3 linked regions of the Canis lupus familiaris genome follow. The protein of the gene in region 1 purifies or fractionates together with the protein of each later gene. This does not show direct contact. Links are inferred from orthologs where the notes say so. Each region holds a gene or a part of one and is shown in the gene's direction. Other genes may lie near its edges. The genes, in order: KIF24, CCP110 and CEP97.

What was found.
Region 2: the proteins of KIF24 (region 1) and CCP110 purify together in Homo sapiens (co-immunoprecipitation; 4 studies listed by BioGRID and IntAct, with this or other methods). This does not show direct contact. The link is inferred for Canis lupus familiaris from reciprocal best matches to the Homo sapiens genes KIF24 and CCP110.
Region 3: the proteins of KIF24 (region 1) and CEP97 purify together in Homo sapiens (co-immunoprecipitation; 4 studies listed by BioGRID and IntAct, with this or other methods). This does not show direct contact. The link is inferred for Canis lupus familiaris from reciprocal best matches to the Homo sapiens genes KIF24 and CEP97.

Annotation. Positions count from the first base shown.
Region 1 is NC_049232.1:51,217,890-51,221,537, reverse strand, and holds part of KIF24 (kinesin-like protein KIF24), read left to right. Parts: intron 1-2,936; coding exon 2,937-3,648. UniProt on the Homo sapiens protein: Microtubule-dependent motor protein that acts as a negative regulator of ciliogenesis by mediating recruitment of CCP110 to mother centriole in cycling cells, leading to restrict nucleation of cilia at centrioles.
Region 2 is NC_049227.1:25,968,043-25,971,690, reverse strand, and holds part of CCP110 (centriolar coiled-coil protein of 110 kDa), read left to right. Parts: intron 1-1,989; coding exon 1,990-2,118; intron 2,119-3,648.
Region 3 is NC_049254.1:8,434,869-8,439,209, forward strand, and holds the start of CEP97 (centrosomal protein of 97 kDa), read left to right. Parts: upstream 1-1,450; 5' UTR 1,451-1,985; coding exon of another isoform or gene 1,986-2,061; 5' UTR 2,062-2,187; coding exon of another isoform or gene 2,188-2,192; 5' UTR 2,193-2,488; exon of another isoform or gene 2,489-2,696; intron 2,697-3,744; exon of another isoform or gene 3,745-3,940; intron 3,941-4,341. Other genes in the region: RPL24 (60S ribosomal protein L24), read right to left, coding at 1,340-1,450, 1,986-2,061, 2,188-2,192. UniProt on the Homo sapiens protein: Acts as a key negative regulator of ciliogenesis in collaboration with CCP110 by capping the mother centriole thereby preventing cilia formation. Required for recruitment of CCP110 to the centrosome.

The DNA of each region.
Region 1 (3,648 bases):
AGTACTGCTAGAAGAAAGGCTACTTCACAGGGCACCTGGGTGGCTTAGTTGGTTAAGCATCTGACTCTTGGCTTTGGCTCGGGTCATGGTCTCAGGGTTATGAGACAGAGCCCGGAGTTCAGCTCTGCACTCAGCTTGGAATCTGCTTGAGATTCTCTTTCCCTCTCCTTCTGCTCCTCCCCCTTCTCACACGCTCTCTCTCACTGTCTGTCTCAAATAAATCTAGAAAAAAGGCTACTTCATGAACTGAAATTAGATAGAAGATATGAAATGATCCAAACTTGTTTCCAAAAAACCAATATGGCTTGAAATTTTTTACCCCCATGTATCCATCAGCCAGCTTCAACAGTTAATAGTAAACCAATCTTTTCTCATAAGCCCACCCACTCACCAAAATCACAGACATTGTTACCAGTTGCTTAGAGTAAGAACTTCATCATTAAGAGCAGAGAACAAGACATCTCTCTTAGTGCCTCAGTAAAGGAAGATGAAAATAACCCTTTCTCATAGGAGAAGTATTAAGTATAATTGAGAAATTATGTGACATAAGTTTAACTTTAAAAAGAACAGAAAAAGTATAATAGAAATCTTTTCCAATTTGAAGCGGTCTAATAAATTATTAAAAATGAATGAAAAAAAAACAAAAACAAAAAAAAAATGAATGAAAGCCGTTTGTTTTATGTGCTTAAATGAGACCTAATGAAATTTAGGTAATAATCTATATACATACCAATGATTTTATTGCTTATTTAAAAATTTCTGATATAAAATTTCTTCTTTCTATATACTAGAAGAATGTTGCTAAGGACTCCAGAGATAAAGTTCCAGCTAGACCCCTAATAGGTATACATCTATCAGAAGAGCTCAGTGATAGGAGTGATTTTGGGGACAGGGAGAGTATATTGAAAGCATTTAGCATCAATGACCAAATTACCTGTAGGATTCCTTCTGGCACTCAGCTTTCTAGAATTATTTACTGTGACTCCTAGGGAGAAGTTTTGGTATTTCTCTCTTAATGAAACTAAAATAATTAAGATTTTTATAACAAGAAGTAACTTGGAACCATCTAGACTTACTGTGGTACCTCTCAGCTTATTTCCTTGTATGTATGCCCTACTGCAACACCTAAACAAAGGCCTGTGGGATATATGTGTCTTTCTTTCTTTCTTTTTTTTTTAAGATTTTAGTCGGTCCAGGGCCTGATCCTGGAGACCCAGGATCGAGTCCCACGTCGGGCTCCCTGCATGGAGCCTGCTTCTCCCTCTCTCTGTGTCTCTGCCTCTCTCTGTATGTCTGTATTTATTCATGAGAGAATAAGACAGAGGAGAAGCAGGCTCCTCACGGGGAGCCCAATGTGGGACTTGATCCTGGGACCGGGATCATGCCCTGAGCCAAAGGCAGATGCTCAACCGCTGAGCCACCCAGGCGTCCCCACATGTGTCTTTAGTCACATCCTACATCTCTTTGCTTAGCTATGTTACCTGCCTGCCTTGGCTCTCAGACTTAAAGGGAAGATTTAAATCAAGTCTCAGTATCAGGGGATCCCAGGGTGGCTTAGCGGTTTAGCACTTGCCTTTGGCCCAGGGCGTGATCCTGGAGACCCGGGATCGAGTCCCATGTCAGGCTCCCTGCATGGAGCCTGCTTCTCCCTCTGCCTGTGTCTCTGCCTCTCTCTCTCTCTCTCTCTCTCTCTCTCTCTCTCTCTCTGTGTGTGTGTGTGTGTGTCTCTCATGAAGAAATAAAATATTAAAAAAAAAAAAAAAAGTCTCAGTATCAGGCTTATTATCTTGGTTTTCAGAAATGGCCAGAGGAGTCATTTGGCTACAAGTAAGGATTGGATTAAAACCAAAACAACGGAGGGACACCTGGGTGGCTGAGTCAGTTAAGCATCTGCCTTTGGTTCAGGTCATGATTCCAGAGTCCTGATCGAGCCTCTCATCGAGTTCCCTGCTCAGCGAGGTGCCTGCTTCTCACTCTTCCTCTGCCCCTCTCTCTCCTCATGTTCTCTGTCTCTCTCTCTCTCTCTCTCTCTCTCACACACACACACACACACACACACACACAAATAAGTAAAGTAAAAAAAAAAAAAAAAAAAGGGAAGAGACATTTAATGGGAGCCCCCAGGCAGAAGTACTGCTCCCTCCTAGAGGATTTTAATGAAGAATTTACAAACCACTGAAGAGTCACATTTTTACTTGATGTCACCTTGTAATTCTAAATTCTTAGAGCATTTTTAAATATCACAGAGCTAAGAGACTATCCTGACAATGGAATCCTAGCAGAGACCTAATTCTGGATTTTCCATCCTCTCTAAAATTCCCATTTGGAATAAATAGAGTATATGTCTGGAGACATTTTTGATTGTCATGACTAGAGAGAAGTGCTACTGGCATTTAGTGGGTGGAAGCTAAAGATGCTGCTAAACATCCCACAGTGCACAGGACAGCTCCCTACAAAAAAGAATTATCTGGCTCCAAATACCACTAGTGCAAAGGTTGAGAAACACTAGGAATAGACAAGTCACTTTTCCTTTAATTAGCATAAGCCTGTTTATTTCCAGAGGGTTTTGCTTCCTGAGCACCCAACAAGTTTGAAGAACTCATTTTCTTAGAGAAGCCTGAAGGGAGGTAGATTGTGGGAAAAGTGGGCTCTGCCTGTGGAGTAGTAGGTGACATCAGGCTCCTGAGTTGGCCCATCTTCAAGAAGGCCCGTGTGGGCCCTACCTAGATGTAGTACAGTTCTGAGACTAGCTTCCCTGGCCCATCCCATGGGACTGAGGTGATTTCCAGAACTTCTGATCATAGAATGTTGGGTATGTTATAGCCACAGGCTACACCATCTTTTTTAGTAATACTTTTCTTTGGTTTTTGAAAAGTATAAAAAGGAATTAAGGAGCATGCAAGACTATACATTTAACATAAAATGGTAATTTACAGGGTCAAAGAACTAAAGAAAGGCATTAAATGTTGTGCTTCAGCTACCAGTCAAAATCGGACCTCTGGAAATTCTTCTCCAAAACGAATTCAGAGCTCCCCTATGGCCCTGCCAGGGGACAAGTGTTCTCCCAAAAAGGTCAAGCTGGGACTTCAGCAGACATTCACAGCATCTCCTGGTTCTATGAGAGGGAAAGCCCATCCTCTGGCCAGCCACCCACCCAACATCCCTTTTGCTCCTGTACCTAAAGTTCCCGGTAAAAGGGGTGGATCCAGAAGGAGTCTTCCCCAAGAGTGGGGCATTCAAACTAGCCCTCCCAGAGGAGCTACACGGTCTGGACATTTAGCCAGAAAAAGGGCAGAAGAGTCTGTGTCATTATGCTCTGAGAAAAATCAAATGGGCAACAAAACTGCCCACAGGTGGGAAAGCAGGGCCCCTGGCCCAAGAGAAGCCCCAGCACATGGTAAGCTGCCCTCCAAGTGCAAGCCAGGACAGACTGTGCGGCCTGTGCAGAAGCAGCTAGTGTCACCGGCCGAGCTCTCTTCTGGCAGGCCCCAGCACTCAGCAGAACACAATCAGGGCAGCCAGGGGAGCACATCTGCCAGGTCTGCCTCTGAAACTTGGACAAACATCCCTTCACATCAAAAGGAGAGGGAGGAACACTTGCGCTTTTATCACCAGCAGTTCCAGCAGCCACCTCTCCTCCAGCAAAAG
Region 2 (3,648 bases), on another chromosome or scaffold:
CCCCCAATTCTTTTTTTTAATGATAGTGAATTTGTAAAGAGACAAGTCCAGTTATCTTATAGGATGCCTTACTTTGGATTTGTCTGATTGTTTCTTCATGAAATTTTATGTGTCCTCTAGTTCCTGTAGTTCCTATAAATTGGAAATGAAGTCTAAAATTTTTATTAGAAAAAAAATTAAAAAAATAAAAGTTTTATTAGAAAAAAAATAAAAGTTTGATTAGAGTCAGGTTAAACATTTTTGGCAAGAACTCTTTGGAGCTGATGCCCTATGCTCCGTGTTAAGTTAAATCAGAAGTTACATAATTCTAGTTGTTTCCCTATTAGTGATGTTTAGTTTTACTTGCTTTTATAAGTGCTGACTGCCAGATAACTTTTGAAAATATACATTTCCCCCCTTTGTGATTAGCAAGTAAACTGTGGAATGATTCTTTGATACCATGCAGATAAAAATTTTAAAACATTTTTACCAGCTACTTGGTAACATTGCTTGATTAGTTTAAAGTGAACCAAAATATCTGAGCTTTGTTGTTTAGGGTCTGTGACTCCATCAGTTACTTATTTATAAGCAAAATCTGATGCTTATAGACCTTTGTCCGTGATTTTATGTTGTATGTGACAGATGAATAGTATAATTCTGGAATAATTTTTTATGACATGTTTTCTTTTTTTTTTTTTTTAAGATTTTATTTATTTATTCATGAGAGACACAGAGAGAGAGGCAGAGACATAGGCAGAGGGAGAAGCAGGCTCCATGCAGGGAGCCCGATGTGGGACTCGATCCCAGAATGCTGGGATCACAACCTGAGCCGAAGGCAGACGCCCAACTGCTGAGCCACCCAGGCGTCCCTATGACATGTTTTCCATTTATATTGGTCTAAGATAAGACTTGACTTCTTTTTTTTTTTTTTTTTTAAATTTTTATTTATTTATGATAGTCACACAGATTGAGAGAGAGAGAGAGAGAGAGAGAGAGAGGCAGAGACACAGGCAGAGGGAGAAGCAGGCTCCATGCACCGGGAGCCCGATGTGGGATTCGATCCCGGGTCTCCAGGATCACGCCCTGGGCCAAAGGCAGGCGCTAAACCGCTGTGCCACCCAGGGATCCCAAGACTTGACTTCTTAATGCAGTGACTAAACCTCTTAGAACTTAATAATTAAGATTTAAATTCACAGGTGCCTGGTGGCTCAGTGGTTGAGCGTCTGCCTTTGACTCAGGTCATATTCTGGGGTCCTGGGATCGAGTTCTGCATCAGGCTCCCTGCAGGGAGCCTGCTTCTCCCTCTGTCTATCTCCCTGCCTCTCTCTCTGCGTCTCTCATGAATAGATAAATAAAATCTTAAAAAAGAAAATTAAATTCACTAAAAAGATGTAATGCTTAGAAATTCCAGTTGTTGAAGTAAATTATATTTTTACTGGAAGGTACAGTGAATTGGGATCTAACATATTCTCATTTTGTAGGCAAAGAAAACATTATCTGTTTCTTTCATCATTAAGCCTTTAGACATTTTCTTGACGTAGCAAAGAGATAAAATGTATGCTGATTGGAACATTAGAAATTGAAGAATCTGACCCTGTGGAGTAAGATACTGCCAATGATAAGCTCAGCAGTGGCCAAAACAGTTTATCTCTCATTTTAGAGCATTTGATGAGTGAACAGGTTTTTTTTTTTTTTTTTTTTTCTTCTTTAACTTTTTATTCATTTGGGAATAATTTACATACAGTAGAATGCACAGATCTTAAGTTCTAAAGTTCCCTGAGTTTTGATATATGGCATACACTTGTGAAACTCACACCCAAATGGAACATTTTCATACCCACAAAAAGATCTCCCCTGCCCCATCCCACTCATTCCCCCTAACCACTGTTCAGATTTCTTTTCCTATAGCTTTACCTGTTGCATGTTTTAATCATTCTGATTCAAAGATTCCTGATTTTAAGGCATTTTTTAATTTATGAGAAATAATTACATATTTCTGATGTTTTGCAGCTTAACATTGAGAAAAGAAAGGAAATGCAACAAGAGAAGCAGAAAGCACTTGATGTAGAAACAAGAAAGCATGTTAATAGGAAGAAAGCTTTATTGACTCGGGTCCAGGAGATTCTTGAAAATGTTCAGGTGTGTAATGTAGATGTTTTAAAATTATAGTTAAGAAATCATGAGGTAAGCAGTAGTGATACTTTTTCAGAAATATGTTTGTGCTTACTAGTTAGTTACCAATATATTTTACTGTTATGTTTGAGAATCTTAGTGGTTTGTGATATTCCATTTCAGTTACTCCAAAGAACATTCACTTGCTTGTTAGTGATGCCCAGTACTTGAATCAGAGGGTACTTAGACAATGGAGCCCTTCCCTGAATATAATTGCTTATTGTCTGTGTCTTATGACTCTAAAAACACGGAATTCTCAGTGACAAAATAATAGAATTGGCCATTGTAGTTTACCTCTGAACTAATCAGACTATTGAGTCAATGACCTTATTCTCATTCTCTGCTAAAGTAAATAACTGCCCCCCATTTTTTGTGTGTGTGTGTGAAAATTCTCTTCTTAGGTACACAAGTGCAATTTAGATTATGTAAGTAGAATTGTCCAGATGCATCTTAGATCTAAATTGAAACCATTTAAACAATACATTCACGCCTTTTGCAATTATTTTTATTTAGCTGAATTTAAATTTGTATAAAGGGGCACCAGGATTGAGCATCTGCCTTTGGTTCAGGTCATGATCACAGGACGCTGGGATTGGGTCCTCGCTTCGGGTTCCTGACTTAGTGGGGAGCCTGCTTCTCCCTCTCCCTCTGCCTGCCAATCTGCCTGCTTGTGTTTTCTCTCTCTCCCCCTCATTCTTTGTCAAATAAATAAATAAAATCTTTAAAAAAAAAAAGAATAAATTTCTTTTTTTTTTTTTTTTTTTTTTTTTTATTATTTATTTATGATAGGCACACAGTGAGAGAGAGAGGCAGAGACACAGGCAGAGGGAGAAGCAGGCTCCATGCACCGGGAGCCCGATGTGGGATTCGATCCTGGGTCTCCAGGATCGCGCCCTGGGCCAAAGGCAGGCGCTAAACCGCTGCGCCACCCAGGGATCCCAAGAATAAATTTCTATAAACAGTTTGTTTTAGGGTGTGGATCATTTCATACTAAAGAAAAAACGAATTATGTTGAACAAATGATTTCTGCTCTATGTAGCTCTGTTTTGCTGGCTACATCTTAACTTTTTTTTTTTTCCTTAGGGTTTGTTTTATAGTTTATATAATTCATACTAGATGATACACGTACAACAAACCTTAGGCTGTTTCCCACTAATTGCTACCTTCATTTTTCTGTGGGTAGTAGATTTTAATTTGCAGATTGTAATGACTATATTAAGTTTAAAAAATACAGTGCAGCACAATAAGGGTAGACTTTGGATTTACTAGATGTTTCCTATTATTGAAACAAAATGGCATATAATTATTGGTCCAGTGAAGGAATATATCAAATGTACTAGTAATGAGATTGTTGAGTCTTAAAACTTCCAACATTTAATAGAGCATGTACAGTGTTAAACTAGAGAGTAATGAATTAATTATATGCAGATATAGAGAAATTTTAAATCAAACAAACAGATTTCTTCAGTCTCTGTAAAACCTATCATTCTGTGATAT
Region 3 (4,341 bases), on another chromosome or scaffold:
AGGATCGCGCCCTGGGCCAAAGGCAGGCGCCAAACCGCTGCGCCACCCAGGGATCCCATCTCTAACTTTTTCATCACTCCAAATGCCCCATTGCTTCCACTGCCCAGCCTCTAGTAATCTCTACTTTGCCTTTATGAATTTGTCACTATACGCACCCCATAAAGGTGAACTTAAACAATATTTGTACTTCTGTGTCTGGCTTATTTGACTTAGTATGTCTTCAAGGTTTATTATATTGGCTAGTTACCAGCTTCTTAAGGCTGAATAATATTCCATTGTGTGTGTGTAATGTTTTGTTATCCGTTCACCCATGGATAGGCCATTTGGGCTGTTTCCATATTTTGGCTATTGTGAATAACCAGTGCTATAAACACTCGTATATTAGTTATCTGTCTTGGGGCACCTGGATGGTTCAGTCAGTTAAGCATCTATCTGCCTTTGGCTCAGGTCATGATCCCAGGAGCCCTGAGCCCCAGAGTCCCACATTGGCCTCCCTGCTTCTCCCTCTCCTGCTGCCTGTGCTGTCAAAATCATGGTTGTGGAATCAAGTCAAAATCATAACAAGAAAAAAAAAATTATTTGTGTTAGGTTCCTGCTTAGTTTCCTTGGGTATACTCCTATAAGTAGAGTTGCTGGATATAGTTCCATTTAGCTTTTTGAGAAACTGTGAGACCATTTCCAGTGCCTGTACCATCTCACATTCAGCAATGCACCAAAGTTCTGATTTCTCCACACCTTCAGCAACATTGGTAATCTTCCCTTTTCTGGATACGGACTATCCTAATGGGTGTGTCAAATCTAAGTTAGAAATAAATTTCTCCTTCATCTGAGCTCCCACAATACCTACTGGTGTCTTTCACCCAGGTGTTCACTAAAATATTCTGAGCCTTCCTAGACACTAATCCTACTGCCAGAGCACAAAAACCTTTCCTCAAAAGTCTCCATCAAGGTCAAAGAGCGCTTCAAAAAAAACAATCTTGAGAACAAAGCAAGATGCTGAAGATTCCAGTGACAGCCCTTAGAACTAATCCTGTAAACCTTCAAAACCAAGTTACCAGACTACTTAACTTCCACCCACTGGAACCTCTGAATGACTTCTACAGATGTATACTTAATAGGAGTTACCTACTTTGGCAAGCGGATGCTTCTAAATTTCAACTCGACGTTCCCGTGAGCCTGATGTATAAGGAGACGAGCGTACCAGTCGTCTTCGCTTCACTGATGCTTTACAGCCTAAGAGCACTCTCACGTCCTGTCTCCTTTACAATTTTACAGGGCGGCACCTGATGCTCAGTTTAAATTTAAGAGCCCCCCCAAGACCAGACTGCAGTTAACTTACCGACTGTCCCTTTTTGTGCTTTCTTCTGTAGAGGACAGTCCAGTTGATCTGCCGAGGGTTCCTCTTGGAAAGGAAGGCCGACTCGCATTTTGCGTTAAGAAACTGGAAGACCTGCAGGAACACGTCCAAGGCGGTCAGCTCAGCCACTCGACTGAACCAAGCGGGAGGCTGAGCTTGGAACCCTGCAGACTCTCACTTCTACCGCCTCCCTGGCCCAGAGACCAAAAGGCTGTGTGCGGGTCACGGCCGGCAGGAGCGGGTGGCACCCCGAGGCCTTGGGGCATCCGTCCTGCCGACACGGAAGCCGGTGAACCGAAGCTCCCGGGGCAGGGACGGGCGGGGCATCCCGGGAGGCATCCAGCCCGGTCCCTACCCGGGTCCCGAGAGGCCTGGTGCCCCCAGCATAGCCAGGTGCTTGGGCCGTCCGTTCCCCGGGCCGCCGGAGTTCCCAAACTCCTAACCTCCGACCTCGCTCACACTACGTCCAGCCTCGGAAATCGGCTCACTCCGAGGCTTCCTATCCTAACAGCCACTGCACCCGCGGCGCCCGCAACAAGCGCCTCAGGGGCCGGGAGCGAGGGGGGACGTGCACACGCTTAGACCCAACCGGGCCGCTCCCCTCCTAGGGGCGCAAGCGGCCTTTCACCTTCCCGTCGGTCCTGGCGTAGCGCCTGCCATGTCCGGGGTAAATCTTGTACCCACTGAAACTGCACAGCTCGACCCTGTAACAAAAAGCCAAGAGAGCCCGTTAGGGGGGGTGTCGACGGCAAGGGGCAGCCGAGCCCAGGACGTGCGAAGGCGGCTCGGCCCGAGGATGGAAGCGGATTGCGGCCCGGGGTCTTGCTCACTTCATGGCTGCGGCGGCCGGGAAGACGGCGAGACGGCGAAGAGAAGGAGAGCATCATGGGAAGAAGCCTTATAAGCCGGCAGGCCGAGCCCCTCCCCGAGTCCCTTCCGTAACCCCGGCGCTCGGCGATGACGTCAGCCACAGCCGCCTCCTTCCGCTGAAGGCGGAGCCGGCGCGCGGGGCGCGGGGCGCGCGGTCGGTTTCGCGGTCGTGGCGTCTCCTGCGGTCGGGGGTCCTGAGCGTGGTCCTGCCGCGCCGAGTGGGACGTGCACAGCCCGGTGACCGACAGCCAATACCCACAGGTAAAACTTCAAGTCACACAGCTCCGTGCTGCCCCACGAACTTCACCAGCAAAATCAAATTTTAATGGTTTCAGCTTTGGAAAATAGTAATGCCATCTGAAGTGGCTCCCACGCCTTGCACTGATCGGCATTCATGGACTTCTCTTTCTGCGCTAGGGAGTATGCCGGAGCATTTACACGCACTTGTGTAGAGTTTACGAAATCCCCAGTGAGTACGCGCCGAGGCCCTGCGAAGTGACAGCCGCCTGTCTGGGAAGAGGAGGCGTCACCTTCCGCCTATTGCAGCCCGGGGGCAGGTGGTGGAACAGTGAAAGGCAAAGCCCTTGCTCCGAGGCTTGGGAAAGGGAGCCCTGGCCAAGCCCACGGGGGGGGCAGTGCCTCAATAGCTTGAGCCCCGTGACGCTAGAAAGGAGCAGCATGTTGGGGGGTAATGGAAGGAGGCAGTCCTTGAATGGCGTTTTGCAGGATTTGACTAGGAAACAAAAATGCAATGATTGATGCTGCCTGTATAAGCTGCTCCCTCTAAAAAGCATCGGTAAGTGGTAGGTGGAAAGATCTGGAAAGTGCAACGAGGTGGCTGACTGATGTTAAGATGTTGGAAGCTGTACGGTTATGCTGGGACCAGTCTCAAGAATGAGCTCATAGAGGGGCACCTGGCTGCTCAGTCAGTGGAGCGTGTGACTCTTGATTTTGGGAGTGTGAGTTTGAGCCCCACCTTGGGCATAGAGATTACTTAAAAATAAGATCTTAAAAAATAAGAATGAGTTAATAGAGATCAGCGTGGAATCAAAAAGCAAAGGGGAGGGATCCCTGGGTGGCGCAGCGGTTTGGCGCCTGCCTTTGGCCCAGGGCGCTATCCTGGAGACCCGGGATCAAATCCCACGTCGGGCTCCCGGTGCATGGAGCCTGCTTCTCCCTCTGCCTGCGTCTCTGCCTCTCTCTCTCTCTCTCTCTCTCTCTCTCTCTGTGACTATCATAAATAAATAAAATTAAAAAAAAAAAAAAAAGCAAAGGGGAGGAATTTGACATTCCAACCAACTCTTACCAGTTTTTCAGAATACCTGGTTACTTGGAATACATTGTTTAAATACACTATGGGCAGATGGACGCCTCGGGCTCCCATGGCTTGATGAACTTAGCTATGACATTGATACAGCTCTCTTTGTTTATTATTATTATTATTATTATTATTATTATTTGCTCTCTTTGTTTTAAATCACTCCTGATTAAACAGATGTTTGATCATTTGGGAAAAAAAAAAAAAAAAAAAAGAGAAGAAAACGACCTGGCTTCTATAGGCGATAAGGCCCAGCTGGAATGAGTAGAAGATGGGGCCAAGATTTATAAGCAGGAATTTGATCCACAGAACCCCAGGATTTATAGTACCTTCCCAAGCATTTTAGGAAGATTTTATTTCACTGGTCTTCAAAATTAAGTTTGGCCTGAGTAGCTCTGTGGAGGAAAAGCAGAAAACTAGACCTTAAGGATTTTAGGGCTTTTACTCTTTCTTGGAGGGCATTCTTGAGCTGGCATCTTAGGGTTCTTTGTAACACATTGTATATATCACACCTTAAACTATGCTCAAACACTCTTAGAATAAGAAGAAAATATACAGAAGCCTCTAAAAGTATTTTATATACTGTCATAAAACGGCTTCCAACACCATCTATAAATTTCTGGTGACTTTATCCTTACACTCTTATTGATTGATTGATTGATTGATTGATTGTTTGGAGCCTAATGCGGGGTTTGAACTCACAACCCGGAGATCAAGATCCGATCTGAGACCAAGAGTTGGCTGTTTAACCAGCTGAGCTACTCAGGCACCTATTAACATTCTCTTTTATAGGCAA